6 linked regions of the Sus scrofa genome follow. Each later gene encodes a partner of the first gene's protein in a complex. Links are inferred from orthologs where the notes say so. Each region holds a gene or a part of one and is shown in the gene's direction. Other genes may lie near its edges.

Region 1 (4,479 bases):
ACGATGGGAACTCCTCTTTTTTTTTTTTTTAATGGCCCACTGCATATGGAAGTTTCTGGGCCAGAGATTGAATCCGAGCCGGCTGCAGCTCTTTTAACTCACTGTGTGGGGCAGGGGATCAAACATGCACTTGTTCAAAACCCGAGCAGCTGCAGTGAGAGGATTCTTAACTCACTGTGCCACAGTGGGGACTCCTTGGCTGATCTTTAATGATGAAAATTTTAAGTGGAATTGGTGGTAATCCTTGCTTTCTTTGGCTTTAGTGCTCATTCTCTTGGTTAATTGATGTTTGGTCAATGGAAGTTTTCTACAGATGTGTTGTAACAGATGGCATTTTTCTTTAGAGGGAAAGATTTTTAAAATTCAGTTCTGGGAGTTCCTGCTGTGATGCGACAGGATAGGTGGCATTTTAGGAGAGCTGGGACACAGCTCTGGGATCCAGCTGTGGCTTGGATCTGATCCCTGGCCTGGAAGCTCCATATGCTGTTGTGTGGCCAAAAAAGAAAAAAGAAGTTCAATTCTGAAAAAAAAAATTTTTTTTTTGGTCTTTTGGGCCGCACCTGCGGCATAGGGAGGTTCCCAGGCTAAGGGTGGAATCAGAGCTGAAGCTGCCGGCCTACACCACAGCCACAGCAACGCCAGATCCGAGCCACGTCTGCGACCTACACCATGGCCCATGGCAACACTGGATCCTTAACCCACTGATCGAGGGCAGAGGTCAAACCTGTGTCCTCATGGATGCCAGTCAGATTCATTTCCACTGTAGTCACGACAGGAACTCAGAAATAATTTTAAACTTGCAGAGAACTTTAAAAATTAAATGGAGGATTTCTGCCTACTCTTCACAAGCCTCTTCTCACAACCCTAGTGCTGTTGCTGAAATCAGGAAGTGAATGTTGACTCGGCACTCTTAACTAACCTGTAGCTCTTACTTGAATCCCACGGGTTTTCTGCCTCTGTCCTCCTCCTGGCCCAGGACCCAGGCCAGGGCCCACACTGCGTTTAGCTGTGTCCTTCGCCTCCTCTGATTGGTGCAGATGTTCTTCTTTCATGCCCTTGACCCTTTTGAAGACTGCTCAGCAGCTCTTTGGTTACCTCCAGCTAGGGTTCAACTGGTTGACAAAACCTGTTCAGCAGACTTTTCGCAGCTGGCTGTGCTGTTTCTGCTGGTGGGGGTTGTGTTGGAGGGAAGACTGATGGTCTAAGTTATGCTGTTTGGCCCCAGTTTAATGGCTACGCTGGGAGTCTCTTCTCCAGCGGGCCCTACGAGAAAGACGACGAGGAAGCAGATGCCATCTACGCAGCCCTGGACAAGAGGATGGATGAAAGAAGGAAGGAGAGGAGGTAAGACAAGCGATTGCTCTCCGTACTGTTAGCCAGCTTCTTAGAACAATTGTGTTCTGGGAGTTCTCGTACGGGGCAGCTGGCTCAGGATCTAGCACTGTCACAGCAGCAGCTCCAGTTGGATCCCTGGCCTTGGAACTTTCACATGCTGTTGGCGAAGCCTCCCCCCGCCCCCCACAAAGAAAGTTCTGTTTTGGTTTATTTCTTTTTTTTTTGTCTTTTTGCCTTTTCTAGGGCTGCACTGCGGCACATGGAGGTTCCCAGGCTAGGGGTCTAATTGGAGCTGTAGCTGCCGGCCTACACCACAGCCACAGCAACATCACATCCGAGCCGCATCTGTGACCTGCACCACAGCTCCCGGCAACACCAGATCCTTAACCCACTGAGTGAGGCCAAGGGATTGAACCTGAGTACTCGTGGATTCCAGTCAGATTCATTTTCTGCCGAGCCATGGTGGGAACTCCAGGGGGAGTTTTTCAAAAGCATGTTATTGAGTTGATGTGTAGGAACTTGTGTGTGTGTGTGTGTGTGTGTGTGTGTGTGATAGTTAAGTGTGGTTTTGCATATTAAAGATGATTTGATTCCAATTTTCTGGAATTCGTTCATTTAGAAAACTTGAAAAAAAAAAGGAAAAAACCCCAAAACCTGAGTGAGAAGTTCCTTGGTGGCCTGGTGGTTAAGGATCTGGCATTGCCAACTGTTGTGGCACAGGTTTGATCCCTGGCCTGGGAACTAGCGCATCCCGTGGCCAAAAAACAAACCGGAATCCTGAATGACATGGATACTTGTAGAGAATTGCTGTATTAACTGGTTTTAAGAAAGTGGTTGGCTTATGGAGTTCCCATCATGGTGCAGTGGAAATGAATCCGACTGGGAACCATGAGGTTGCGGGTTCAATCTCTGGCCTCGCTCAGTGGGTTAAGGATCTGGCGTTGCTGCGGGCTCTGGCATAGGCCGGCAGCTACAGCTCTGATTAGACCCCTAGCCTGGGAACCTCCATATGCCATGGGTGTGGCCCTAGAAAGACAAAAGACTTAAGGAAAAACAAACAAAAATAAAACAAAACCAAAAAAACCCCAACGAAAGTGGTTGGCTTCTGAAAACTGGTCACAACGCAAACACAGATACACAGGAAGAGTAGTGTGGCACACATGCCCCTGCTGCCACGTAGTCTCTACACTGTTTACAGTTCGCACGTCTGCCTCATCTGCACCTGCACGTGGTCTTTGTGGGGCCCCAGCACTGAGCAGTATGTCTTGTTACCTGGTAGCCAGTCCGCATCCACTTTTCCCTGCTTATCCCAACAGCATCATAGAGCAGCTTTTTTTTTCTTTTTTGTCTTTTTTGGGCCGTACCCGTGGCATATGGAAGTTTCCAGGCTAAGGGTTGAATCGGAGCTGTAGCTGCCGGCCTACACCACAGCCACAGCAATGTCAGATACTTAACCCACTGAGCGAGGACAGGGATCGAACCCATGTCCTCATGGGTACTAGTTGGGTTCGTTACCGCTGAGCCACGACGGGAACTTCCGAGCTTTCTTTTCTAAGCCAGGACACAACCAGAACCCCTCATGGGCATGTCTCTTAGCCACCCCCCCCAACTGCACCCCATCCCCCAGAATGGCTGCCTGTCTCCTCAGGGTGCCTTTGTACTGTCATGCTTTTAGCATTGCTTGGTGGAATGGAAATTGGATCCTGAGGCTTGATTTTTTAAAAAATATTTATTTATTTAATTAACTTTTTTTTATGGCCTCGTTCTCGGCATATGGATGTTCCCAGGCCAGGAATCAAACCTGTGCCACAGTAGTGTCATTGTTGGATCCTTAACCCACTGGGCCACAAGAGAACTCCCAGAGGCTTGATTAAAATCAGATGGAATGTCTTTTGCCAGAAAACCCGACAGGTGCGTCTGTGTGTCTCGCCCCATCAGGAGCCGTGATGACAGGCCACCTCTAGCCCGTGGAGGGGTTTGTCCTTTCCAGGCGCATCATTTGTCGCCACACAGTCGGAGTCCTGTCTGAGCTCAGTGCTGGAACCCTGGCTCCGGGGCGGACATCCACACTAGTTTACTTAGTCACCATTTCCCATGGCTCTTTGTATCCACATGTGACCTGGCCCCAAGTCACAGACCTGTCGGTTGTGGCAGTCGGAGCAGCCAGGCTTCTTGTTCGTTAGAAGGGAGCTCTCCTTTGAAGAGCGCAAGGTAAATTGAGTAGAGAGTTGGATGGGCAACTAGGACAGTGCTTCAGATTTGCTTCTGAGTTGAGTCTTCATAGGATGGCCCTGCCTTTGGAATTTTGTATAATTTTAAAGCAGTAAATATGCTTGTATTCAAATGCAAGTATTTATTGGAATAAGACAAAATTTGCTTTTATTTTAGTGATTTCTGCATGTTTTCACCTGGTAGGGAATTGAGTTAATTTGCTAATGTGTCCGCTGTTGCCTTAAAATAGATTTGATTTAGGTCCTGAGTGTGTGGAACTATTCCGTTTTTTGGTGGTTTGATCAAGAAGTATAATAAAAGGCCTTTGTTTCAGAACGGACATGCAGTATTTCTAATGTGTGCACACACGTTTTATTTCCTAGGGAGCAAAGGGAGAAAGAAGAAATTGAGAAATACCGTATGGAGCGTCCCAAAATCCAGCAGCAGTTCTCAGATCTCAAAGTGAGCAGACGGGTGGCATGATATTCCTGATGCCCTTCCCGAGAACCGAGGCTCAGGCGGAGCTGATGAGATTTTGCTGCCTCTGCCCTTTGTTTAATTCAGTGGGTGGAAGAAGGCCCCTGCTCCAGCGTGTTTAATGTGTGTGTGTCTGTGTATGTAACAAGCCTCCGCTCTCCTCACTACAAAAGGTGGAACAAAGGGCTGAGTTTATTTGTAACTTTATTTTATTTTAGTTTTTTGGGGTTTTTTTTTGTGTGTGTAACTTTATTTTTTATTTTATTTTTTGGGTTTTTTTTTTTGCCATTTCTTGGGCTGCTCTCGCGGCATATGGAGGTTCCCAGGCTAGGGGTCGAATCGGAGCTGTAGCCTGCCGGCCTACGCCAGGGCCACAGCAGCGCAGGATCCGAGCTGTGTCTGCAACCTACACCACAGCTCACAGCAACGCCGAATCGTTAACCCACTGAGCAAGGG
Region 2 (5,246 bases), on another chromosome or scaffold:
GTAACAGGCCCCACATAGGCCTTTATGTACATGCCTTATAGTAACTGGGGAGTGTGTGTTTGTCTAGTTGAGGAGGTGCAACCCCTCGCCCAGGGTCACAGAATGGTAGGGAGTGGGTTTAGGGCTGTGAGCAAGCAGCCTCCTGTCAGTGGAAAGCTGGTCTTCCTCTTGAGCGCCATGAAGAACCAGGCCCAGGGAGGGTTCTGTTCCGGAAAGCAATGGCCCAAGAGCTCCTCCCTCTCTCCAACACTCTTCTTGGCTCCCCACACTCAGGATGAAGTTCAGTCAGCTGAGAATAAAGTCCAAACACCTCATCACGTGGGCCTCCAGCATGCAGCTCTGACCTGTCCAGCCCACTCCCTGGACCCCAGCCTGGGAGGGCCACAGGCTCCATCTGCCCTTTACCCTCGGCCTGGAGCCACTCCCCTGACGTTCCCTCCCTGGCCTCCCTGCCAGTGCACCTGAGCCTCCACTGGGATGACACCATTCTCAGGTGGAACCACTGTACTGAAAATACACCAGTTAGAGCGGAGCCACAGCTTCCCCAAATAAAGCTCTCACGCTTCTGCCTGGCCCTGCTCACATCACCTGCAACACCCTCCATCTGCTCTCCTGACCTAGCAAACTCCTACTCGTCCTTCAGAACACCCTGCAGGCACCGCTGCTCCTGAAAAGCATTCCCAGGCCAATTGCATCCCTCATTCTGTGGTGTTTCCATGACCCTCCCCCTGCTTCTAGCTTTGCACTCCTTTGGAATACCCAGACAGCTCAAGGTCCCTGCCTCGAGTTGCTGAGACAGCTGAGGAAAATGAGTGAACAGGGCTCAGGGAAGTACAGGGGGCTGGCAAAGCAGCTAGGGGGGCGTCCCAGAGAGCCTGAGAGGGAGGGGCAATGAAGCTGAGGCTAAGTGTATGACCAGGCAATTCATACACAACCCTACATACAGAACCCTCCCTGGGCCTGGTTCTTCATGGCGCTCAAGAGGAAGACCAGCTCTCCACTGACAGGAGGCTGCTTGCTCACAGCCCTAAACCCACTCCCTACCATTCTGTGACCCTGGGCGAAAGAGAGAAGTGCAGGGAGCCTTCAATACACTAGAGCTGGAAAGGGGAAGCTTCCTGACAGCCAGATCACAGGGGCTTCACGAATGCACCAGGAAGCTGCCAGAAGGCTCTCCTCTGGGCACAAGACATGACACACTTTGAGAAAGATCGCTCCTGCAGTGTTGAGAATGAACCGGGGGTGCAGAGAACAAAAGTGGCCACAGAGGAAAGCCATCTGCCTGGAGCAGAGGTGGAGGGGCTGGAGCAGGCTAATGACCCAGTTTTGGGAGCTGTTGGGGGCCACCACTGCCTAAGCTGTGGAACCTGAGAGAGGGGGAGGATTTGGTAATAAAAGATGCACTTATGACAATGTATATCAGCCACCTCGTGGTAGTTCCCCCCACTAGCACCTGGAGACCCTTAACGTTAAATGACAGAGAAGTAGCATGCTGCGCGTTCATGATCCCATATATCATCTCGCTGACTCTATACTGTACACTTATCTTCCTTTTGCAGACAAGGAACTGATACTCAAAGCGGGGAACTCCCTTGCCAAGGTCATGCGAGCAAAAGATGCGGCGGCGATTCGACCCCACTTCGGGGCTGGGCTCCCGGCTGCGTCCCAACACCGCCAGACCCTGGGTGCCGCGCTGGACAGTTTACCACAACCACGGTCGAGGCAGATAGCGTCGCACTCAAGGAGAAACTGAGGCTCGGAGAGGGGTAGCTCCCAGACCAAAGTCACGAAGCTAGAGGGGCGTCTCTGGCGGCGGTTGGAGACCCCGGGGTGGACAAGCGGGGCTCGGGGCAGGAGAGGGGGAACCCCCCCTTAAGACTCCGGCGGGGCCTGGTGACGCTGCGGCTGGGAAGGGCTTCCAGGCAGGGAAGGCAGACGCGCCGGGGACAGTCCGGCAAGGTCACTGCCGGCCCCGAGCCCGCGGGCCGACCGCGTAGGGGGCACGGACACCCTAGGTTGACCCCCAGGCCAGGCCGAGCGGACCCCTATGCGGGGTCGGGGGGCCAAGGAGTAATGGCACCGCGGATGGCGAGGCCGCCAGGGTCGGCGCCGCCCTCACCTGGGCTGCGAGGAGAACGAAGGCCGCCGCGAGCCGAGCCAGCGATGCCACCGCCGCCATGTCGCCCGGTCCCCGCCGCAGGCGTCGGCAGATGTTTCCCAGCAACGCCTTGGCGCCCCGCGCTGCGCAGGCGCCAGGCGTCCGCCGCGCATGTGCAGGGGGCAGAGGCCAAAGGGCGCGGCGCGGCGGCGGCGGCAAGATGGCGGTGAGCGTGCGGCGCGGCTGGCTTGGCTGGAGGGGCTGGCGGGGCAGAATCTGGCCGCGCTTCCCCCCTCACGCAATGTGCTTTCCTCGCAGGACAAAGAGAAGAAAAAGAAGGAAAGCATCTTGGACCTGTCCAAGTACATCGACAAGACTATTCGGGTGAAGTTCCAGGGAGGCCGCGAAGGTGAGGCCCCGCCCCCTGCCTCCCCCCCCCACTCTCCCCCTCTTAAGGTCCACACGGGGTAACGGGCAGCGGTACTGATGACGAATACCTGGGCGGCGCTTTAATCGTTTAGTTCGGAGAACTCGTGCCGGCTTGCAAAAGGCGCCGGGAGGTAGGAACGATTACGGCCCTGTTGCAGGTGGGGAAACTGAGGCACGGGAAAAGGCCCCAAACTAACCCAAAACCCAGTGGCTGGGATTCACTGCTCTGCCTGCTGTGGTTCTTTCTCACCCAGGTGGCTGCCCCAGCTCCTCACCGTGCTCCTGCACCAGGGTTTCTCAGGCTCGGCACTGCTGACATTGGGGCAGCAGTGTTCTCTGTGGAGGTTTGTCCTGGGCGTTGTAGAGTGTGAAACAGCATCTCTGATTCCCACCCACTTGATGCCAGGAGCCCCCCATTCGTGACGACCACAGACCTCCCAGACATGGCCCACTGTCCCTTGGGGGACAGAACTGACCCGGTTGAGAACCATGGCCCTATGGTCAATTTTTATGAAGCCACCAGAGGGATCTGTTATAAAGAAATCCCATCTCCTTGTTCACGGTTGTTCCAGGGTAAAGGAGGAACCTTTTGCTCCAGAGTAATGCTGGGAGTTCTCAACCGCCACAGGGCTGTAAAGATACTTGTTTTCTCTGTCTTGAGCACCTTTACCAGGTTAACTGGCTACCAAGTTAACTTGGTCATTTCCCCACTGGCAGCTCAATACCATTGCTCTGGGAAGCTTTCCCTGACTCCCCAGCCCAGGTCAGGCCTCTTTGTTATGAGCTTCTACTAGTACCTGTCACACAGTTTGCAGCTTTCTGCTGTTATTGTGAGGCTTTAACTCTGCGTCTCCTACTGGAATCTGGTAAGGAGACTGCAGGGTCATGCGGGCAGTGCCGTCCATGGCAGAGCCCTCTTGTCCACTCAGCTGCTGTGGAACTTTGGGCAAGGCACTATCTTTTCTGAGCCTCAGTCTCTTCCTTTGTCAGAGGCTATTATTGACTCCGCCCACCTCAGCAGTGGGGATTAAAGAGTTCAAGGCAGGTAAAGTGTTAACAGGGTTCCCGATGGAGGTTCCCAGGCTAGGTGTCTAATCGGAGCTGTAGCCGCCGCTTATGCCAGAACCACAGCAACTCGGGATCCGAGCCGTGTCTGCGACCTACACCACAGCTCACGGCAACACCAGATCCTTAACCCACTGAGCAAGGCCAGGGATCAAACCTGCAACCTCATGGTTCCTAGTCAGATTTGCTAACCACTCAGCCACGATAGGAAGTCCCTGACAGATAATTCAAGGTCAACATTTCACTTATTCAGCTTCCTCTGATCTTCAGTTTCTTAAACAGTGCTCCAGATCCCTCCTTCCCTGAGCTGTGGACAGTTGAGTAGCATCAGAATGGCTAAAAGCACAGTCAGTGCCTGCCAGTCGAGGTACCTGGCACAGTGAGGATTTGAACATGCTAGTACCATCCTAGCTCTGAAACATAGGAGATAGGTCTCGTCTCGGGGTGCTTATGTTTGCAACGCTGCGGAGCAAACGGCCACCAGTTAGCTGCTTAAACAACACACGTTTTTATCTCAACAGTGTGCGTGGTTTCTATACTCTGGGTGCCTCAGGTCGCTGACAAGGTGGCCATAAAAGAGTGTCTCTGGGAGCTTGTCATCTGAGACCCAGTTCCTCCTGCCTGCCCACTGGTTGTTGGACTCAGGTCCCCGTATTCTGGCTAAAGTGGGCCAGAGACCCTTTTGGCTCTTGGAGGCTGCCTGCTGCCCTTGCCATGGGCTCTGTCCATCGCCTAGCAGTTTGCTTCTTCAAAGCCAGCAGGAAAATCTCTTTTGTCCAGAAAGTGCCCATTCCTTTAGTAGCTCACCTTTCAGGTTGGGCCTACCCAGCATAGCCTCCCTTTAGGTTCACTGAAAGTCAGCCGACTCTTGAACCTTAATTACAGCTGCGAAGCCTTCTGTCTCTGTCACATGACCACAGAGTGATGTCCCATCGTTGCTCCTGTTCCACACTGAGGGGAGGGGGTTCCCAGGCGTGTTCTCGGGGTGAGGGAATGCCGGTTCTGTCTCAGAATCCTGCCCGCCTGCCACAGTGCACCCGTCCCCTTGAGGGGGGCAGACCCACAGGTGTGGGCTCCCGGCCCCCAGGCCAAGTGCCCGAATGCATTGTCCACTCTCCATAACCCCATGAAGTAGGTTCTATCACAGTCTTTGTTCCGTAGGGGAGGGTCAAGCAGGAAAAGGACGCAATGACAGGGCTTCAAACTCAGGTGGGGCCGACAGACATTTTCTATAGAAGACCGGACATGGAATATTTTCAGCTCTGCAGGCCAGACTGTCTCTTTTGAAACCACTCAACTGCCATTGCAGCAGGAAAGCAGCCACAGGCGACATTTAGCAAATGAACATGGCTGTGAGCCAGTTAAACTGTTTACAAAACAGGCACAAGGTTTCGCTGACTGTTCTGGTGGGGGTGGTTTGGGGTCAGCTGACACTGCTCCCCTTCTGGGAGCCCTTCCCTCGCTTTCTCCTTGGTCCCCTGTCTCCAGAGCAGCTGCTCCCACATCTGCATCTGGTTGCAGGGTGACCCCTTGCCGGTGGGGCACCCCCATCCTGCCGACACCTGGATGCAGTTCAAACCTGCCCCAGGATGACCACTGATCTTCCATCTCTCTGTCTCTCTTCTTTTCTCGGTGATTCTGACAAGCCAGTGGA
Region 3 (4,979 bases), on another chromosome or scaffold:
AAGGCAAAAAGACAAAAAATAAAATAAATAAATAAATAAAATAGTTTCATGTTTGATCTTGCTCAACTGCAGGCTAATGTTCCAACAGAACATCGATAACAGAGATCAGTTCTAACCCCCATATCTGTGAATATGGCCTTATTGGAAATAAAGTCTTTGTCGATATAATTAAGGATCTCAAGATGAAATTTAACCTGAGTTTAGGAAGGGCCTAATACGAGAAAGGAATGCCTTCATAAAAAAAGAGGAAGAGGAGTTCCCGTCGTGGCGCAGTGGTTAACGAATCCGACTAGCAACCATGAGGTTGCGGGTTCAGTCCCTGCTCCTGCTCAGTGGGTTGACGATCCGGCGTTGCCGTGAGCTGTGGTGTAGGTTGCAGACGCGGCTCGGATCCCGCGTTGCTGTGGCTCTGGCGTAGGCTGGTGGCTACAGCTCCGATTCAACCCCTAGCCTGGGAAACTCCATATGCCGCGGGAGCGGCCCAAGAAATAGCAAAAAGACAAAAAAAAAAAAAAAAAAAAAAGAGGAAGAGTTGAGACACAGAGACACACAAAGAAAAGCACCATGTGATGACAGAGGAATCTGTGCCAAGAACTACAAGGATTGCTGGCAGAGAAGCATGGGATGAATTGCCCCTCAGATCCTTCAGAAAGAACCAACTCTGCTAAAACTTTGATTTCAGTCTTTCGGATTAAGTTTTACTGTTTAAAACCACCCAGTTTGGAGTTCCTGTTGTTGCTCAGCAGTAAGGAACCGGACTAGGTATCCATGAGGACTCAGGTTCAATCCCTGGCCTCAATCAGTGGGTTAAGGAAGCTGCGGTGTAGGCCACAAATGCTGCTCAGATCCTGCATTGCCATGGCTATGGTGTAGGCAACTGTAGCTCCATCCAATTCGACCCCTAGCTTGGGAACGTTCATATGCCATGGGTGAGGACCTAAAAAGCAAAAAATATTCAAATAAAAATAAAAAAATAAAACCACCCAGTTTGATCATTTGTTATGGCAGCCCAAGGAAACTAATACATTTGTCTATTTTGTTTACAGTCTGCCTCCCCAGTGGGCTCCTAAACCTCAGGAGGGCCAGGAGTTTTGTTTGGTTTATTCTCTTCTGTGTTTCCAGGAGGAGGCCCGTAGTAGATGCTCAATAAATATTTATTGCATGTCCGTGTATCAAGTGCTCAGTACGTGCCGGGCACTCTTCTTTTACAAGGCATAAATCACTTGGCACTCATTGCAACCTTCTAAAGCAGACACTATTATTAAGCCCATTTCAAAGGGAAGCAAACTGAGGTTCACACCGGTACGTCTAGCCTATCAAAAGAAGTGCCCTGGACAACGGTCAACTACAATAAAGAGAATCAGAAGAGTAGGAGCTCGAAGGGACACATGGCAATAACCATAGAGCTGCCATTCCTCCATTTGGAAATTGGAGGCACTACCCCGTTTTGCCCACAGCGTGGAGCCCGGAAAAATCACTGAAGATTGCACCTGCGCAGGCGCCCTTACCCACAAGGCCTCCTGCGCCGGCGCACATTGCTCCGCCCCCTTTTGCAGCACTCATAGCGGCACTTTACGACTCTCTCTCTCATTTCTCCGGTAGGAACGCGGCCCGCCCCGCCCCTCGTGTTTAATAGGCCCCGCCTTACTCCGCGTGGATTGGTTGGCCTTCCCATGAGCCTCGTGCTGACTGGCTCGCGTTGCTGCCACTCCATTTCAGCCTAGTGGCGCGCAGAGCTGCAGCTACCGGCGGGAACGTGAGCGGCGGCGGCGGCGGAAGTAGCCCACGAGCCTAGTCCCCGCCGACACCATGGTGAGGGCGGTGCGACGGGGGAGCCGGCCGCCAAGGGCCCTCGGGGCGGTTGTTGGTTCAGGGGCGTTGTGGAGCCAGCCTGTAATCTGGGCCTTGAGTCCTGCCCCTTCGCCCAAGGTGGGGAGGACAGGCCGGAGAGTGGAAGAGCTTCTCCCAGGACACCAAGCACGTCGGTCTCGGGGGAGCTTGGGATTGGATAGAAATGAAATCACAGTATGGCAGTCTGGCAGCAGTCTTCCCATTTTGCAGATGGGGAAACTGAGGCCAGAGAGGAAGGGGACCTGCTGAAGGGCCCGGTGAATGCAGCAGAGTGAGTTTTCGGACGGGGAAATGGCTCCCAGTGCATCCGACCCGATCTGACCTCCTAGACAGTAAAGCTAGAGCACCAGGCAGTAGGGGGCCGGCCTTCTTTCTCAAATTCAGCCAATCTGGGGAATTTCGGGGGTTGTACTGCCCTTGGAATGCTAGCTGCGCAACCTCTTATGCCTCTCCTTTTCAGACTAAAAAGCAGACCCAAAGCAAGGTTAACTTCTTCCGGGGTCACACAGCATATGGTTCCAGGGGAAGGGGGGGCGTTTTCAGCCATGGATGGGCTAACCGTATCCCAGTTTAGAAAACAAAAAAATCGAGGCCCTGGCAGGAAGTCTCCCCAGGGCCATGCCATCTCACAAGTTGTGGAAATTGGAGATCTAAACCAGCGTGCCTGTGTCCCCAGTGAGTGACAGACAGGGAAATGGAGGCCCACACAGAGGAATTGAGCTGGGAGAGAACCTGGCCCATCAGCCCTCGAGTCCTCTAAGATGGTCGCTGCACATTTTTCGGAGCTGACCATGAGGGTTCAGTAATTCTTCTGGTCATTGTAGGGATGGAGAGAAGGGAGCAGCTTCGTTCTCTCTGTTCGTCTCTCTGGAGGGTAGAGTTGGTCTGTGGAAGAATCCATTTGTTAAGCTCCATGGAGATAGGATCTCTGTTTTATCCTCATATATTGCCAGAGCCTAGAACAGTGTCTGTGCAAAGTCTGTGTTCAGGAGTGGCTAAGGCATTACACACTGCCTGTTCCTTGTGGTCGGGGTGGGGCGGAAGCCAAGCCAAGGTCTGGGTGAGGGAGTGGGTGATCAGCAGCTTCCTGAGTTGGGAACCTCAGGACACCATTAAATCCAGTTGTGGAAGTTTCCATTGTGGCACAGCAGAAACGAATCCGAGTAATAACCATGAGGTTGGGGGTTTGATCCCAGGTCTTGCTTAGTGGATTAAGGATCCAGTGTTGCTGTGAGCTGTGGTGTAAGCTGCACACGTGGATCAGATCCCATGTGGCTGTGGCGCAGGCTGGTGGCTGTACCTCCAATTCGACCCCTAGCCTGGGAACCTCCATATGCCATGGGTGCGGCCCTAAAAAGCAAATAAATAAATGTATTTAGGTGTGGATGGACCTAGACCTGAGGGCCAGACCCCAGATGTTCTGAGAAAGGCTAGAGAAAAGAATTCTCTTCCCTGAAGCTTTTTATGACTCCAAATTCCACACAGCCCTTGCTCCCCCCTGAACTGGGTGATCTGCCCTCTCCTGTATCCCTGGCACCTTCATGCTTTCCCCCACCCCAGCATACCCCTCGCTTTCAAGTTCACCAGGTTCCTCCTCTTCCTTTGGCCTTTGTCTCCAACAGCGTTTGGGAACAAGGAAGTAGATATGACCACTGCTGCGGTTGTTGAAGTCTTGGAGGGCTGTCCCAATGCCACCTTTCCCTACCTGAGCTTCTCCTTTTCCTTGTCTTGTGAGGTGTGGCAAGTATTCCCCACCCCACCCCACCCCTGTCACCACCCCCTGCCTGGAGTGCCTCCCTGGGTGGTATGTGCTATATTTGTCAGCAAATATTTACTGAGTCCCTTGCATGTGCCTGGCCCAGTGTTCAGCACTGGACAAAGTCCACACCCTCTGAATTTTCCAGTCTAGCAAGAGGCTTGGTGTTTCCAGTCTAGCCAGGGAGACGTAATAAATAAACAAGTTAATTAGAGACTGGCTATACCCTATAATAGAAGCAGAGGGTGGCCCAGGTGGAAACCTCATTCCCTTGATGGGGTTATAATGAGGGGCTGGCTGAAGCAGAAGTCACCAGCCTGGGGGAGGGCACCCCAGGTAGAGGGAACCAAGGAACAAAGTTTGACCAATAGCACCAGGCGTGGTGTGAAGAAGTGAGCGGGCCAGTTTGCTAGAGCCGTGTCAGGCCTGGCTCTGTGGCTAGCCAAGGGAGCGGGTGTGCAGGGGAGGGTGTGAGCAGGTGCTGGTTCCATCTGTGTCGCTGCCGTCCTCTGAGGTCACACTGCTGGCAACAGCTGCAAAGGCTGTGGGTCCTCCAGGGGTGTGCTACTCGTAGCTGGGACAGGATGGTAGCCTGAGAGAGACAGCCTGAAGGCAAGGTATGCCATAAAAGGACATCTGTGGGTCTTCTGCTAACAGGCATTAATCTGCTTTCCCCGGCTTTACCCAGACCTTGCTCTGTATCCTTGGGTGTCCCTCCTAGCTGCTGGTACCTCATCTAGAGGGGCCTTGGCTGTGCTACTCCTACTCCCTCCACCTCTCCACACAGTCCATTTTCATTCTCACCTTCCAGGACAGGGGCTGGCCTGGCCCTGTCCCCGTCTCCGGTGATCTGGGAGGAGGACTCAAGTGTGTCATTGCTCTGGTCCTGATTCCCGTTGTGGATACAGCAAACAGGCTTGTCCAGGAAAACCCTGAGCTTCTCTATAATAGAATACCACCTGGCTCTGTGGCTCCCTCATGCATATCTGAGCCTCCTGTTCTTTCTCCACAGCTTGCTGTGCTCAGGCAGCATCAGACAGATGTGTTCCTTTTTCTTTTTTCCTTTTTAGGCCCACACCTGCAGCATATGGAAGTTCCCAGGCTAGGGGTGGAATTGGAGCTGCAGCTGTCGGCCCATACCACAGCCACAGCCACACGGGATTAGAGCTACGTCTGTGACCTATACCATAGCTCACTTCAACGCCGGATCCTTAACCCACTGAGCAGCGCCAGGGATCGAACCCACATCTTCATGGATACTGGTTGGATTTGTTTTCACTGTGCCACAACAGGAACTCCAGACAGATGCATTCCAGAGGAGGGGGCAGGGGCTGCATGTTGCCTGTGTTGGGACCCCCAGCTGCCTTCTAGG
Region 4 (4,912 bases), on another chromosome or scaffold:
CCAGGCTAGGGGTTGAATTGGAGCTGTAGCTGTGGCCTACCTACAGCCACAGCCGCACTGTATCAGAGCCACCTGTGCGACCCACACCAGCGCTCAGAGCAAGGCCAGGTCCTTAATCCACTTATCAAGGCCAGGGATTGAACCCTTGTCCTCAAGGATACTAATCCAGTTCCTTACCTTTGAGCCACGAGGGGAACCCCCAGAAAAGTATTTCTTTAAAGCTAGCTATGGGTTTGCAAACTTTTTTTCCTTTGGTCTTTTTAGGGCCGCACTCTGCAGTCTATGGAGGTTCCCAGGCTAGGGGATCAAATCGTAGCTGTAGCTTCTGGCCTAGGCCACAGCAAAGCAGATCCCAGCCACGTCTGAGACCTACAATTGCAGTTCATGACAACCCCGGATCCTTAGCCCATTGTGTGGGGCCAGGGATCCAATCCCCTGTCCCCAGGTACTGGTTGGGTTCCTTACCACTGAGCCACAATGGAAACTCCTACACTGAACCTTTAAAAGAAGGTAGGGGAGTTCCTGTGGTGGCTCAGTGGTTAAGGAATCCGACTAGGAACCATGAGGTTGCCTGTTCGATCCCTGGCCTCGCTCAGTAGGTTAAGGATCCGGCGTTGTGCCTGAGTTGTGGTGTAGGTCGCAAACGTGGCTTGGATCTGGCAGTTGCTGTGGTTCTGGCGTAGTCTGACAGCAACAGCTCCGATTAGACCCCTAGCCTGGGAACCTCCATATGCTGCAGGTGCAGCCCTAGAAAAGAAAAGAAAAGAAAAAAAAAAAAAAAAAAAAGGTAGGGAGTTCTCCTTTGTGGCTTAGAGGATTAAGAATCCAACTAGTATACCTGAGCGTGTGTTGGATTCCTGGGGTCGTTCAGTGGATTAAGGATCCCCTTGTTGCTGCGAGCTGCGGCTCAAACCCACATTGCTGTGGCTGTGGCTAGGCCGGCAGCTGCAGCTCGATTTGACTCCTAGCTTGGGAACTTCCATGTATCTGCTCTGTGGCCTTAAAAAGAAAAAAAAAAAAAAAAAAAAAAAAAAAAGCGGTAGATTCCTGTAAAAAAAAAAAGTTTTTGCTTTTGTTTTTTAACAAAAATTGCAACACAATAAAATCAGTGGCGGAAAAAATATTTATGTTGGTCTTCAGAAGATCCTTGGTTGAAATGAAATATAACCCAGGGAAAATCAAACGACTCAAACGTTTCTATTTTGCAGTCTTCCAGGTTGAGGAATATTTTATTTATAAGGCAAGATATCTTTAATTTGTCTTGGAAACTTGGAGGGCAAAGTATCTGCTGAGGCCGCAGAATGTTCAACGCACTGATGTATTCCCCCGGATCTCGTTGCGGAGGAAAGAAGTGACTCCGAGCGATTCACGTAGGACTGGCCCGATCGCACGCTCGGCCTCAGATTGGTCGAGCCTGGCCGGGCTAGGGGAAAAAAGCGGAAGCGCGCTCTTTCAAACTCGCCTTCCCAACGTCGGTAGAGGCTGGCCACTTCCGGCGTAGCCATGGCGGCTAACGCTACGACTAACCCGTCGCAGCTGCTACCTCTAGGTAATCGTTGTCCTGTGGGGAGCTGGGGAGGGGAGCTGAAGGGTTGCGGGCCGAGGGCCAGCGCAGTCCTTGACTGAGTGTTAGAGAAATGTATCTGACCAATTGTTTTCTTTATCCGCGGCTCTTTGGGCTCTAAGGCTCTGAGGCCTCAGGCCGCCCGCGTCTTTTCGGCGTGGAAGGGTTTTCTTGAGCCAGGACTTTCTGAGTTCTCACACCAAACCGTCACTGGAAAAGGTTCACACTTAGTGAATGCGTCGTCGGCCTTTTTTGTTGTGAGTTCGCCTTTACAGTAGTGGATAGCAGTCCCATTCTTCTACCTGGCATTTAAAATCCCTAGGTTAGACCCTGTTGTCTGTCTGGCCCGTTATTGAGAGAGGTAGCGGGGTCTGCAATGAGCTTTAAAAGGGGACACTGGAAATTAGCTCTGATTGTCATTCATTTATTCCACAAACAGTTTTTGCGCATCTGTAGACTAGACATCGTAACTTAGCTTCAGGTAGCATTCATGCCAGCGCAGGAGACAGGATGCCAGACAATTAAACATCATACCAAGTAACAGTAATTCTGCTGAAGAGATATTCAAGCTGCTCTCAGAGAACAGAGGATAGCCGTCTTGGGGCTGGGGAAGACAGTTATGTCTTTTTCTAATATTTTGTATCTGAAGGGTAATTAAGTTAGTGGACGTGGCGGTAATTGGAAAGTTTTTTCCTTCATTGAACAAAAAAAAGTTTCTTTTTAGGCCCGCACCCGAGGCACATGGAGGTTCCCAGGCTAGGGGTCCCATTGGAACTGTAGCTGCTGGCCTTCGTTTCTGCTGCGCCACAACGGGAACTCCCGAGACCTGAAGTTTTTGAGTGAATCCTTTTCTTGGTTTATCTTTCACCATATGTAAGTAATAAGTGCCAGTAAGTACTCACATATTTCTTGAAGTAATGAATGTGCAAAATAATTTTTTTCACCCCTCCCCCCACTTATTTTTCTTTTAAAAAACCTGTATCTATAGAGCTTGTAGACAAGTGTATAGGATCAAGAATTCACATTGTGATGAAGAGTGATAAAGAGATTGTTGGCACGCTTCTCGGATTTGATGACTTTGTCAGTATCCTTTTAAAAAGTGGGGGTATGGGTTTTTCTTTGTTTTTTAATTAAAAAAATTTTTTTTTGTTATTATTTTTTATGTCTTTTCTAGGGCTGCTCCCATGGCATATGGAGGTTCCCAGGCTAGGGGTCGAATCGGAGCTGTAGCCACCGGCCTACACCAGAGTCACAGCAAAGCGGGATCCGAGCTGCATCTGAAACCTACACCACAGCTCACGGCAACGCCGGATCCTTAACCCACTGAGCAAGGCCAGGGACGGAACCCGCGACCTCATGGTTCCTAGTCGGATTTGTTAACCACTGCGCCACGACGGGAACTCCATCTTCAGTTTTTTTTAAAAAAGTAAGAACTATAGTCAGTGCTTACTGATTATTATAATAAAAATTAATTTATTCTCATGGAATTCGTGGTAGTGTTTTAAGGGGTGTGTGTACCCCTACCAATCGCAAGCAATTTGAATTTGAGTCATTATGTTAAATGTTATTTTTTTATTTTTATTTTTTGTCTTTTTGCCTTTTCTAGGGCCGCTCCCTCGGCATAGGGAGGTACTCAGACTAGGGGTCTGATCGGAGCTGTAAGCTGCTGGCCTACGCCAGAGCCACAGCAATGATGTATCCAAGCCACATCTTCGACCTACACCACAGCTCATGGCAACGCCAGATCCTTAACCCACTGAGCAAGGCCAGGGATTGAACCCGCAACCTCATGGTTCCTAGTTGGATTTGTTAACCACTGAGCCATGATGGGAACTCCCAATGTTATAATTAAAACTGAACAAAGACAGAAGCCAGAGTAAATTTAACATGGTATATATTTTCTTAACACCAAATTTCAGATATGGTACTGGAAGATGTCACTGAATTGTGAGTAGTGTTAAAAATTAAAGAATTGGGCAGGGGGAATCTCTCTTTAAGGCAGTTGTAGCACTGTTGAGTCAGTAAAATGATGTATGAGAAAACACTGCCTGTTTGAATCACTAACATAGAAATTTTATGACTGAGGTTAGTAAAATTGGATTGTAGGATTATTACCTTAATTGTTAGGAAATTAGTGGAAACAAAGCTTTAAGGTAAAAGACACTAAAAGCAGTGAGGGATCTTAGGGCTCAGATCAAAAGTATTTAATACTTTGAATTGAATATAGAAAATGTAAATGATGGCTCAATTATATTAATTATAAAGATTGTGACCAGTAGTAGATCTGCTTTCAGAATTGAATTGATTACAGAATGGTATAATGGATAGGAAGCAGAAGCAAATGAATGGTTAAAAAAAATGAGGATAGTAAACATTTTATTTCATATTTGATCTCCTAGGCAAGTTTTAGCTTTTTAAGTGAAGATCAGCCCTAGTGGATGTGGATCTTAGATGAGCCCGTCAACTCTATTCCCTGTGGGGAAGAATAAACCAATGGATAACTTTTGTCTCATGTTTTCATTTATATATAATAATTAGCCTTTTGGGGGAATCAAAATGTTGGCTTTGACAATCACTGTTTATCCTGACTTTTTGTTTTGTTTTAATTTTTTCTTTATTTTTATCCTGACTTTTTAAAAAATCTGTTTAGTGAAATCACACCAGAAGGAAGAAGAATTACTAAGTTAGATCAAATTTTGCTAAATGGAAATAATATAACAATGGTAAGATACAGTAAAGCTATTTTATTTAGATGTTAAGCCATTTTTATGGGGCAGGGATTACAGAACTAACTTGTCTAAATGCTTGTGGCCCAGTGGTACTTAAAATGGGAAAGGGATGCTGGTGGTCAGGGCTCTAAAGCCATTAAAGATGACATTAGGCCTAAGATTAGTTTGTGATTATTAATCATTTATTTTACCAAGAGTCATTGTGGAGACATTAAGTATTGAGGGTGGTGGCATTGTAAAATAGCAGTGACTTGGAGAAAATGGGAATATGGGGGAGGAGCAAAGTGGTGTGGCTTTAGTCAATGGGGAGCTCTCAGTAGGGGTTTTTATATTGTGTAGTAGTGATGATTTTAAGCTTTTTCCTTTTTTGCAGCTGGTTCCTGGAGGAGAAGGACCTGAAGTATGAATGGATTTCTTCACTTATGCTAGATTCTGTTTTGTCTTATGACAACAAAATGTAACTTTTTTTTAAACTTTTAATGAACATTTGGATTCTGTGAAGCCAAGTTTCCCGTTAAAGGGAAATGCTTTGAAGAGGCATTGTTAATGTCAATTTTTGTAAATTAATCATGATTATCTTGGGAAAAGAATAGTTTGTTCTTTGAAGACAAAAATAAAG
Region 5 (4,739 bases), on another chromosome or scaffold:
GTTGTCTTGCTTTCTTCTTAAGAGAAAATCACGTTTTTGTTTTTTAAGGTAGCTCACATTGTACTTTGTCAAGTAAGGACAGTTTGAAATCTTTTAATCTCTTCTTAACTTTGAGAAGCCTATTGTTAACAAATGTTTGTAAATAGGTTTTTTTTTTATTTTATGAAAATCTCAAGTTTAAATGCTCTTGTTTTGTTAACAAGATGGGTTAATAAATTGGAAAATTATTTTAACTTGATAGAAGAAGGAAAGCCATTTTTAAAAGGCATTTTGAGCACTAAAGTTCAGTAGTTTGTATTTCTTTGACACATGGCTCACTTCATAGAACAGTTATGTGTAAATGAAGCCAAGAAGTTATGTATGGGTGTGATTAGAACTATTTGCTAGCTAGTTTAGTAAATACTCCATATTTTGTTTCTCTTCCAAATTCTAAGTTAACATTTTCTCTTTATTTCATTCTGATTTTATATAGAGTTTCAAAACAGCAACTTTAATGGTGAGCTTGAGAGATTTAACCAACTAAAACCAATATGTTGATGTGTCTTTAGAAACTTCAATAGCATCTGAATTACTATGTTGTACTAGGCTTATGTCTTCCTTTATTAAGAACCAAGCTTCTTCCATAAAACTTTCTCTGAATAGTTACTGCAAATTCTAGATTGTTCTAATTGTTACAGTCACATTTGTATCAACTATTACTGGAGGATTAAATAAGTAAATCCACATGAAGCCCATAGAACACTGTTTTGCAATACTAAGTACTCAAATCTTAGCTGTTATTACCAGTTGAAGTTTGTGTATATTTATGGAATTGATTTGAATCTCTGAAAAGTGGTAAATTCTATTTGCTTGGTATAATATAGATCAGGGGTTTGGCTCTGAAGCTAGCCTTTCACGGTTCAGATTCTAACTGCTATTTCTACCCATGAAACCTTGAGAGATTACTTTTTTGTGCCTCAATTTTTCTCCTCTGAAGTAGGAATATTTATAGCATCTAAGGCAAAGGATAGGGATTTGTTTAGATAATGTGTGCAGCATGTTTACTGGTATGTAACATGAAATGATACTGTTACATTGCTATAGCTGCTATGTATAGGAATATTTCCCTTAAGTTTCCCTTGTTTTAGTTTGTATCTTTAGAATATTAGCTCCTGGACTACCTGGACTTTTATGCTCTTTCCTTGGAAATAAACTAGTACATAGGCGTCCCTGTAGTTCTCAACAACTCTGCACACTAGTCAGAAGCGTGGTGGGTTCCCCCCCCACAAAAAAAAACCAAGAGGTAAATGCCCAAGAATGTGAATACTGTTGGTCATAAAGAAGCATTCTATCTTCCAGTGGACTTACATATACTTAAAATGGGTACTTCTTTTGGAGTACCTGGCAACTAAATTTGTTGTGTGGTTGAATTTACACATTCAGGTAAATGAGAATATTTGTCTTTTTCTCTTGAATGTTCTTTTACAGGGAACCCTGAAAGGCTTTGACCAGACCATTAATTTGATTTTGGATGAAAGCCATGAACGAGTGTTCAGTTCCTCACAGGGAGTAGAACAAGTGGTACTAGGGTTATACATCGTAAGAGGAGACAATGTGTAAGTAAAACATGTCTTTTTTTAAGGCAAGTTAAATATACTATAGATATATACTGCCTTGCTATATGGAGAAGGGTTTTTTATCTACCGAGATTTGTCTGAATTTCTAATAGTTAAGTAGCCTGGATGGGGTCCAGAAAGGGCCCTGCCTTGAATACGTCATTGGAGAGGCTTCTTAAAGTGTTCTTCCAAAATACTCCTAATTTCAAAGGAACATAAATATATATCTAGGGTCCAAGGCTAGCGTTTGAAAATGTCTTTGAAATCTCTTGTGTGAACAGTTTTAAATAATTATTGCTTTGTAACCTAGCTGAATTTATAAATAAGTACTTATCCATTACTTTTTTCTTCTAATTTGTAAATTTGATTTTAAGACTTTTTCTTCTACTTTAAACTTCAATTTAAAAAAAATTAAGGAGTTCCTTTTGTGGCTCAGCAGAAAACAAATCTGACTGACTAGCATCCATAAGGATGCAGCTTCAATCCCTGGCCTCGCTCAGTGGATTAAGTATCCTGCATTGCCGTGAGCTGTGGGGTAGGTCACAGACATGGCTTGGATTGAGTGTTGCTGTGGCTGTGCATTAGCCGACAGCTATAGCTCTGATTTGACCCCTAGCCTGGGAACCTGCATATGCCACAGATGTGGCCCTAAAAAGCCAAAAAAAAAAGAAACATTGTTGTAGACCTAGCAGTATGCTGGAGCCAGCTTGTACTGACTCATAGAAGCAGATTTTTATATTTCAAGGAGTTTTGCAAGCTGGTAGATCATGTCTGTTGGTACCTTGAAATTGGCCATATGTAATTCACTACCTTATAAAAATGTTTTTCACCTTAAGTATTTTTTTTTACCATCTTCTCTCAGTCAGAAATAAGATTGTTTAAACTGATTTATTTTTTTCCCCTTAAATAATTACAGGGCAGTCATTGGAGAGATTGATGAAGAGACAGATTCGGCACTTGATTTGGGAAATATTCGAGCAGAACCTCTGAATTCTGTGGCACACTGAGAAAAAACTACATATGATGGACATCTGTAAATCTTTGTACAGAAACTGATTATTCTGAGGATACTGTGCAGAATTTTTTATGAATGTGTCCTTGTGGATTTTGACTCCATTTTGATTCATTGTAATATGATATGTAAATTAAAATATTTCTACATTTTCATGAAAAACTGTTTTTGGTCTAAATCATACATTTGCTAGCTTGGTTTTATTTTTTGATTGAATAGTGTAAAAATCTAATTATTTTGAGAAGTTTTAGAAAAGATATATTTTAATACTTGTGGAAAACTAGTTGGAAAGAGAAATTCATGTACTATTTAAATTAAACATACAAATACCAATAGTGCAGGATACGTATGTTTCTTTCCTTTTTTTGTTTTCTTTTTGGCAGCCACACTTGTTATATGGAGGTTCCCAGGCTAGGGGTCTAATCAGAGCTGCAGCTGAGGCCACAGCCACAGCAATGCAGGATCCGTAACCTGCTGAGCGATGTCAGGGATAAAACCCACATCCTCACAGAGACAGTGTTGGGTACTTAACCTCTGAGCCACAATAGGAACTCCATCTTTCCCTGATTTTTAAGAAAGTTATAAGATGGTAAGTCTTGTCTCCTGTAGTTATCTAAACCATTCCTGTTTATCATATTGCCCTGGCAGTTGCTCCCTAGCACTTTGTAAGTGTGGTTTACTAAAAAGTGTGTTTGGTTGAGAAAAGGAAAAATGCTAACAAAGTTGTCTATTATCTGAAAAAAACTATTGATTGCACACAATCTTAAAAGTCATCTTAGCTTTTAATTTTAAGAATTGGGGAATTTCTAGTAGTAAAGGAGTGTTCTATTGTTTTTAAATGTGAGTAAATAAACCTTAAGTTTATATTGAGGCAGTGCTTGCTATTATTGTCAACAGCTTTCCATGACTCCCTAGTTCCATGAACCCAATTTCAAAAGAAGTAAACATGTTTTCTTCAAGCATGTCAGTCCTGTTCTTTGGTCTATTATTTGTGTGAAATCAATTAAGTAGATAAATGCCCCTCATCCACCCATGGGCTGTTTTCACACTTGGTTGTTTATACTTTTAAGAGTCCATAGAAACATTGTTACAAGTAGTATTTAGATATCCAGGCTAGTCCACCGGATTTCTCAGCGAGAGTCATCTGTAGGCCAAAGTGTGTAACTTTGTGATAAGAATGGAAAAATGCTTATATCCTTGTAATTGAAACAAAATTTCAAGTTTTTTTTTAATGACTGTTTAAAAATAGTTGGCAAGCTCTTTTTGTAAATATGTAGATACTAATTATTTTAAGCTTTAAGGGTCCTATGGTCTCCTTCATACCTCAACTTTTGTTATTGCAAGAAAACAGCCATAGATAATATATAAATTAATAATCATGAATGTGTTCCAATAAAACTTTATTTACAATAAGAGGTAGCAGGCTCTATTTGGCCTACAGGCCATCCTTTGCTGACCCCTGCCTCAAAATAAAAATGCAGACGGAATAGGAAGAGATAATGGCAAAATGTATAAATTCTGAAAAGGGCTTCTGGAATGGATCCTTTCTGAGTTTAAAGGTGGATTTCATGTTTTTTAACACTGAAAACTACTTATTAGACATGTTAATTTTTTGTTCACAAATAAAACATTTTCTAGAGAAAAATATTTTCACAGAAACGACTTGTGAGAACTGTTGAGATAGTTCTCTTTGGTCATCAAGCAAAATCACCCAGAATAGGTGGGTTGATGTTCCTGTGTTTAAGGCTGTGTCTGGGAGGATTAGAGGAAGTTTAGCTAGTACTGGCTATTCATAAATATTTGGTTTTTGTAATATAATGTTTTATAATCAAGTTAGTAATAAAATGAAAATAATGCAAAGTGGGTAAAACAAAAAGCCCACTTTAATTATAGAGACTGTAAACCAGATGTTCTAGTTAAATAAAATAGCGAAATTTTAAATTGGTAAACTAATTCCAAAAATCAAATAAGGAATACAAATCATTCAGTTGCCAAGTGAAATGTATTCTAAGCATATATGATGTTCAGAGTCAGATGCTTTCTCAATATCTTGACCGAACAAAAATTACACAGAAACCAGTAAACAAACCATAGTCCCTCTTCCTCATGAGTTTCCAATATGATGCTTCCTC
Region 6 (4,204 bases), on another chromosome or scaffold:
GCAGGGCTTTGATGCAGGGCTAGGATCATCCTCTTGGTCCAATGCCTGCCCTCGGGAGGGTTCTCCCCAGCCTTTTCTGCCTTTTTCATGAATGGCATTTCAGCTGGCTTATTTTTCAGCCTGCTTCCTGCCAGCAGCATGAAGTTGTAGTGCTTCCCCTCGGCCTGAGCAGGTAGAGTCTGTCCTGGGTGCCAGAGCTTGCTGGTTGCTTCCTGGGAGAAGATCCTGTCCTTTGAACATTCTGACCTTTAGGTCTTTTCCAGGTTTCAGTAGGTTATGTGGCTTCTGTGTCAAGAGTTCAGCACCCATTTCTGGATTTCAGCATCTTTTGCTATTTGGAGAGGCTGAGAATTTGTTGTTGTTGTTGTTGACAGTTTTTACAACCAGTTTCTCTCTTCTTTTACTATAAGGCCTAGGAAACCAGGCAGTGCCTTCAAGACTTTACTTCTGTGTTCTCAGCTCTTATCCACATGCATCGCTTACAAGTGTCACAGACATTCTGCCACTGTGTAGCAAAGATCCCTTTCCTCCACTCCCTGGAACATGTCCCTAACTCCTTGCAAGTCCATATTTCTACTAACAGGCTATTTAAGGCAATCCAGGCCTTTTCTGTTATGCTTCTCAAAGTTCTCCAAAAGTCCTCCAGGTGGGAATATGGGTGCCGCCTTAGATCCTGCTTCTCACTGCATGTGGCCAGGACAAGTTCTGATGGGAAAGGGGGTTGCAGAAAGGAGTCAGGTGGTGCTGTGCCAGACTGTGTATTTTGCTATTTTAGGATTGATACTGCACTCAGAAAATGAGACAAAATCTTCTACTGTTTCTGCAACCCAGACTTCTAAGACAACTAGTAGTAGTACTTTAATTTATTCCCTAAATATATATAGAGTAACACTAGGTTTCATGTCTAGTTCTGGGACTTTGTCAGATGAGACAGGGTTCCTGCTGTCACAGAACTTCATCTGCTGGCAGAGCTGAGTAAATTAGCACTGGGAAACAGGGAGATGGAAGAGAACCCAGTTCCACTCTAGCATGTTGGGCAAGTCTCAGGAGTCCTGCTGGTGGGATTAAGAAGTCACCTTCGTGAACATAAGCCCACCTGTGACACCAAGGCACCCATTTCACCTTTATGGCCCTGAAGTGTTTTCAGGAACTGAAGACTGGAGACTGAATATCCCATGACTCTTATTCATGGAAGTTCCAAGAGTTTTGGCAACTGTGAGCCAGGAATTATGGATGAAAACCAAATACATATGAGAAATATAGTCATCTCAGTGACTAAATACATGTTTTTCCTATAAATCACAATGTCGCAGCAGGTATTCACAGAGGTACAAATACTTTGAGTAGTGGGAAGTGCTTAAAGCCTGCTGGATGATTTTGGTCGAGCCCCATGCATCTAGCAGGGGCACAAAGGCAGAACAGCTACCACAATTCGGAAACCTGCAAGGAGGTGGGAGGACTGACAGGTGAGGGTGGGGAGGGGCAGGTGGGTGGGGAGGGAGAGCGGGGCAGGGTCCAGATGCCTGGATTCATGGACCAGTGTGAGGAGTTGGAATATTGCCTGGAAGGGAATGTTTGCATCAGGAAAGTAACATCACATTTACTTTTGGAAGCTCACTCTGGCTGAAAGGAGGCCAAACTGCAATTAGGACAGAGCACATATACATGGAACAACAGCTGGGAGCCAGACTTACAACCTTGCAGAAACAGAAGTTAAATTATTAAGAATTAGTGCAGCCTGGAGTTCCCTTTGCAGCTCATCATTAAAGAACCTGACTAGTGTCCATGAGGATTCGGGTGCCATCCCTGGCCTTGCTCAGTGGGTTAAGGATCCAGGGTTGCCGTGAGCTGTGGTACAAGTCAAAGATATGGCTCAGATCTCAATATTCTGTGGCTGTAGTGTAGGCTGGCAGCTGCAGCTCCAATTCAACCCCTAGCTTGGGAATTTCATGTGTCCCAGGTGTGGCCCTGAAAAACAAAAAAAGTTTAAACAAAAAAAGAATTTGTGCAGCTATTACAACAAGGGTTAATATCTTTATTTTTTAAAGGGCCATATAAATTCATTTTAAAAAGCAGCCTTTTGGAGCTCCCGTCGTGGCTCAGTGATTAACGAACCTGACTAGCATCCATGAGGACTCGGGTTTGATCCCTGGCTTTGCTCAGTGAGTTAAGGATCTGGCATTGCTGTGTGCTGTAATGTAGGTTGCAGACGTGGCTCAGATCCTGAGTTGCTGTGGCTCTGGCATAGGACAGCGGCTACAGCTCCAATTCGACCCCCAGCCTGGGAACCTTCGTATGCCGCTGGTGTGGCCCTAAAAGACTAAATAAATAAATAAATAGCCCCTTAAGGGTTCCCTGGTGGCACAGCAGGTTAAGAATCTGTTGGCATGGGTTTGATCCCTGGCCTGAGAATTTTAACATGCCCCGAGTGCAGCTAGTAAAAATAGCTTCCTGGAACGTAAGTTTGTGAAGAATCATGGAAATGCAAAATATATTCATTTCGCAATCAGTAGGACTTTTTTTAAAATAAAAAAAAAAAAAAATTCTGGCCATTCCTGAGGCACACAGCAGTTCTAAGCCAGAGATTGAACCCAAGTCACAGCAGTGACGACGATCAGTCCTTAACCACTGGACTATCAGGAGCTCCCTTAGTGGGGCTTTAATAACATGTATACTAGGTGCTCACAAGAATGCCATGATGAACTCATACATGGCTTTTTTTCAGATAAATTAGTACAACCCTCTGGAAAACAGTTTGGCTTCCCAAGTGGCTAAAACTGTGTCCTTTGACCTTCAGTTACCCTGTAGCTTATTTGTCCTAAGGAAATACAGAAACATGTGGAAGGAGCTTTGCGTGTTTTGTCAAATAATGTTTCGGTTGTTTCCAGTTTCCTAAATCATGGTATACTCTCTGGGTTGTGTTAACTGGTTTTAAGTAGGAAAGGTAAGGCGTGTTTTTCATGGATTCTTTTCCAGAAGGTTCTTTATGAGCATTGTCCCCCTTTCCCTCTTGCAGGAACAAGCATATCATGATTGACCTGGGTACTGGCAACAACAACAAGATCAACTGGGCCATGGAGGACAAGCAGGAGATGATCGACATAATTGAGACTGTGTACCGTGGGGCCCGGAAAGGCCGCGGTCTGGTTGTATCCCCGAAGGACTACTCCACAAAGTACAGATACTGAGCTCCTAGCCGGTCCTGGTGCACACAGGTGCCATGGAGTCAGTCCCACATGGACACAGTCTAAACTCTTGAGAGCATCTGAGGAAGTATGTGTGGCTCAAGGAGCTGGAGGGTTTTACAGTGAGGGTGGCATTGCCTTTACTTTCAGTCTACTTGATCATTGTATTTTTGTATCAGCAAATATCTGTAAATAGCTAAATAAATACAATACCTGGCGACAGGAACAGTCACAATTGTTTATTTCTGAGAAAACTTGATGTTTAGGTTAGTGATTTTGGTAATCAGGGATTAACTTGACCTTTGGAGGGAGGTTCAGGCATGAGTCCTGTGGGGCCACTGTGTTTGCACACTTGTCAGTGAGAATCTGGCTGTGTTTTCTAGGGCTGCTGTAATCCCAGCCTTCATCGTCACATGCTATTCTCCCCATGCGTGTGTGTGTCCAGATGTCCCCACCACTGAGGGCCACCCCACCCCAACATAGCGTCATCTCAGCTAATCACATCTGCAAAGACGGACATCCTGAGGCCCCAGGGTTAGGACATAGGAACAGGGAGAGGCAGAAAAGTACACACTTAAGGAAAAAATTATCTTGTTTTTATGGTGATAAAAATGGTGATAAAATAATGATTTTTGGAACCTTTTAAATGTAAAGAGTAAGAGTTGTTTCTTATTCTGCCTAAGATTATGTCGAATGTACTTAAATACACTGTTTCTCTGACTCTTCAGTACATGTACCTAAGCAATTTCTGTATCCATCCCAAGTCTCTCCTCTGAATCTCTTACTCTAGCAGTGTGTTGTTGTTGGTTAGGATCTTCCCGGGCACGTACATCTTGGTGCCCACGACTGAAATGAAAAGAGTTGTAGAATGTGGAAGCTGCACAGGGGCCTGGTGGAGGCACATTTGGAAGCCCTGCCGGGTCTCATAGCCAGGCTCTGTGCTTACCCAGGACCTCAGGCCAGTGGCCCCAGAGCCCCATTTCCTCCCATGGGAAGGAGATGCCCATGTCTGCTGTCTG

Evidence for each region.
Region 2: PRPF6 (region 1) and LSM7 share a complex: the UniProt entries of both Homo sapiens proteins name them as parts of the U4/U6-U5 tri-snRNP complex. The link is inferred for Sus scrofa from reciprocal best matches to the Homo sapiens genes PRPF6 and LSM7.
Region 3: PRPF6 (region 1) and LSM4 share a complex: the UniProt entries of both Homo sapiens proteins name them as parts of the U4/U6-U5 tri-snRNP complex. The link is inferred for Sus scrofa from reciprocal best matches to the Homo sapiens genes PRPF6 and LSM4.
Region 4: PRPF6 (region 1) and LSM5 share a complex: the UniProt entries of both Homo sapiens proteins name them as parts of the U4/U6-U5 tri-snRNP complex. The link is inferred for Sus scrofa from reciprocal best matches to the Homo sapiens genes PRPF6 and LSM5.
Region 5: PRPF6 (region 1) and LSM8 share a complex: the UniProt entries of both Homo sapiens proteins name them as parts of the U4/U6-U5 tri-snRNP complex. The link is inferred for Sus scrofa from reciprocal best matches to the Homo sapiens genes PRPF6 and LSM8.
Region 6: PRPF6 (region 1) and TXNL4A share a complex: the UniProt entries of both Homo sapiens proteins name them as parts of the U4/U6-U5 tri-snRNP complex. The link is inferred for Sus scrofa from reciprocal best matches to the Homo sapiens genes PRPF6 and TXNL4A.

Annotation. Positions count from the first base shown.
Region 1 is NC_010459.5:62,817,999-62,822,477, forward strand, and holds part of PRPF6 (pre-mRNA-processing factor 6), read left to right. Parts: intron 1-1,225; coding exon 1,226-1,344; intron 1,345-3,929; coding exon 3,930-4,008; intron 4,009-4,479. UniProt on the Homo sapiens protein: Involved in pre-mRNA splicing as component of the U4/U6-U5 tri-snRNP complex, one of the building blocks of the spliceosome.
Region 2 is NC_010444.4:76,244,848-76,250,093, forward strand, and holds the start of LSM7 (U6 snRNA-associated Sm-like protein LSm7), read left to right. Parts: upstream 1-2,177; coding exon 2,178-2,324; intron 2,325-2,416; coding exon 2,417-2,507; intron 2,508-5,238; coding exon 5,239-5,246. Other genes in the region: SPPL2B (signal peptide peptidase-like 2B), read right to left, coding at 2,120-2,179. UniProt on the Homo sapiens protein: Plays a role in pre-mRNA splicing as component of the U4/U6-U5 tri-snRNP complex that is involved in spliceosome assembly, and as component of the precatalytic spliceosome (spliceosome B complex).
Region 3 is NC_010444.4:59,497,867-59,502,845, forward strand, and holds the start of LSM4 (U6 snRNA-associated Sm-like protein LSm4), read left to right. Parts: upstream 1-1,693; 5' UTR 1,694-1,809; coding exon 1,810-1,812; intron 1,813-2,061; exon of another isoform or gene 2,062-2,122; intron 2,123-3,784; exon of another isoform or gene 3,785-4,224; intron 4,225-4,979. UniProt on the Homo sapiens protein: Plays a role in pre-mRNA splicing as component of the U4/U6-U5 tri-snRNP complex that is involved in spliceosome assembly, and as component of the precatalytic spliceosome (spliceosome B complex).
Region 4 is NC_010460.4:40,750,980-40,755,891, forward strand, and holds the start of LSM5 (U6 snRNA-associated Sm-like protein LSm5), read left to right. Parts: upstream 1-1,410; 5' UTR 1,411-1,503; coding exon 1,504-1,549; intron 1,550-1,560; exon of another isoform or gene 1,561-2,437; intron 2,438-2,552; coding exon 2,553-2,648; intron 2,649-3,483; coding exon 3,484-3,511; intron 3,512-4,214; coding exon 4,215-4,287; intron 4,288-4,666; coding exon 4,667-4,699; coding exon of another isoform or gene 4,700-4,754; 3' UTR 4,755-4,912. UniProt on the Homo sapiens protein: Plays a role in pre-mRNA splicing as component of the U4/U6-U5 tri-snRNP complex that is involved in spliceosome assembly, and as component of the precatalytic spliceosome (spliceosome B complex).
Region 5 is NC_010460.4:28,122,946-28,127,684, reverse strand, and holds the end of LSM8 (LSM8 homolog, U6 small nuclear RNA associated), read left to right. Parts: intron 1-1,467; coding exon 1,468-1,595; intron 1,596-2,511; coding exon 2,512-2,602; 3' UTR 2,603-3,569; downstream 3,570-4,739. UniProt on the Homo sapiens protein: Plays a role in pre-mRNA splicing as component of the U4/U6-U5 tri-snRNP complex that is involved in spliceosome assembly, and as component of the precatalytic spliceosome (spliceosome B complex).
Region 6 is NC_010448.4:127,974,377-127,978,580, reverse strand, and holds the end of TXNL4A (thioredoxin-like protein 4A), read left to right. Parts: intron 1-3,016; coding exon 3,017-3,188; 3' UTR 3,189-3,417; downstream 3,418-4,204. UniProt on the Homo sapiens protein: Plays a role in pre-mRNA splicing as component of the U5 snRNP and U4/U6-U5 tri-snRNP complexes that are involved in spliceosome assembly, and as component of the precatalytic spliceosome (spliceosome B complex).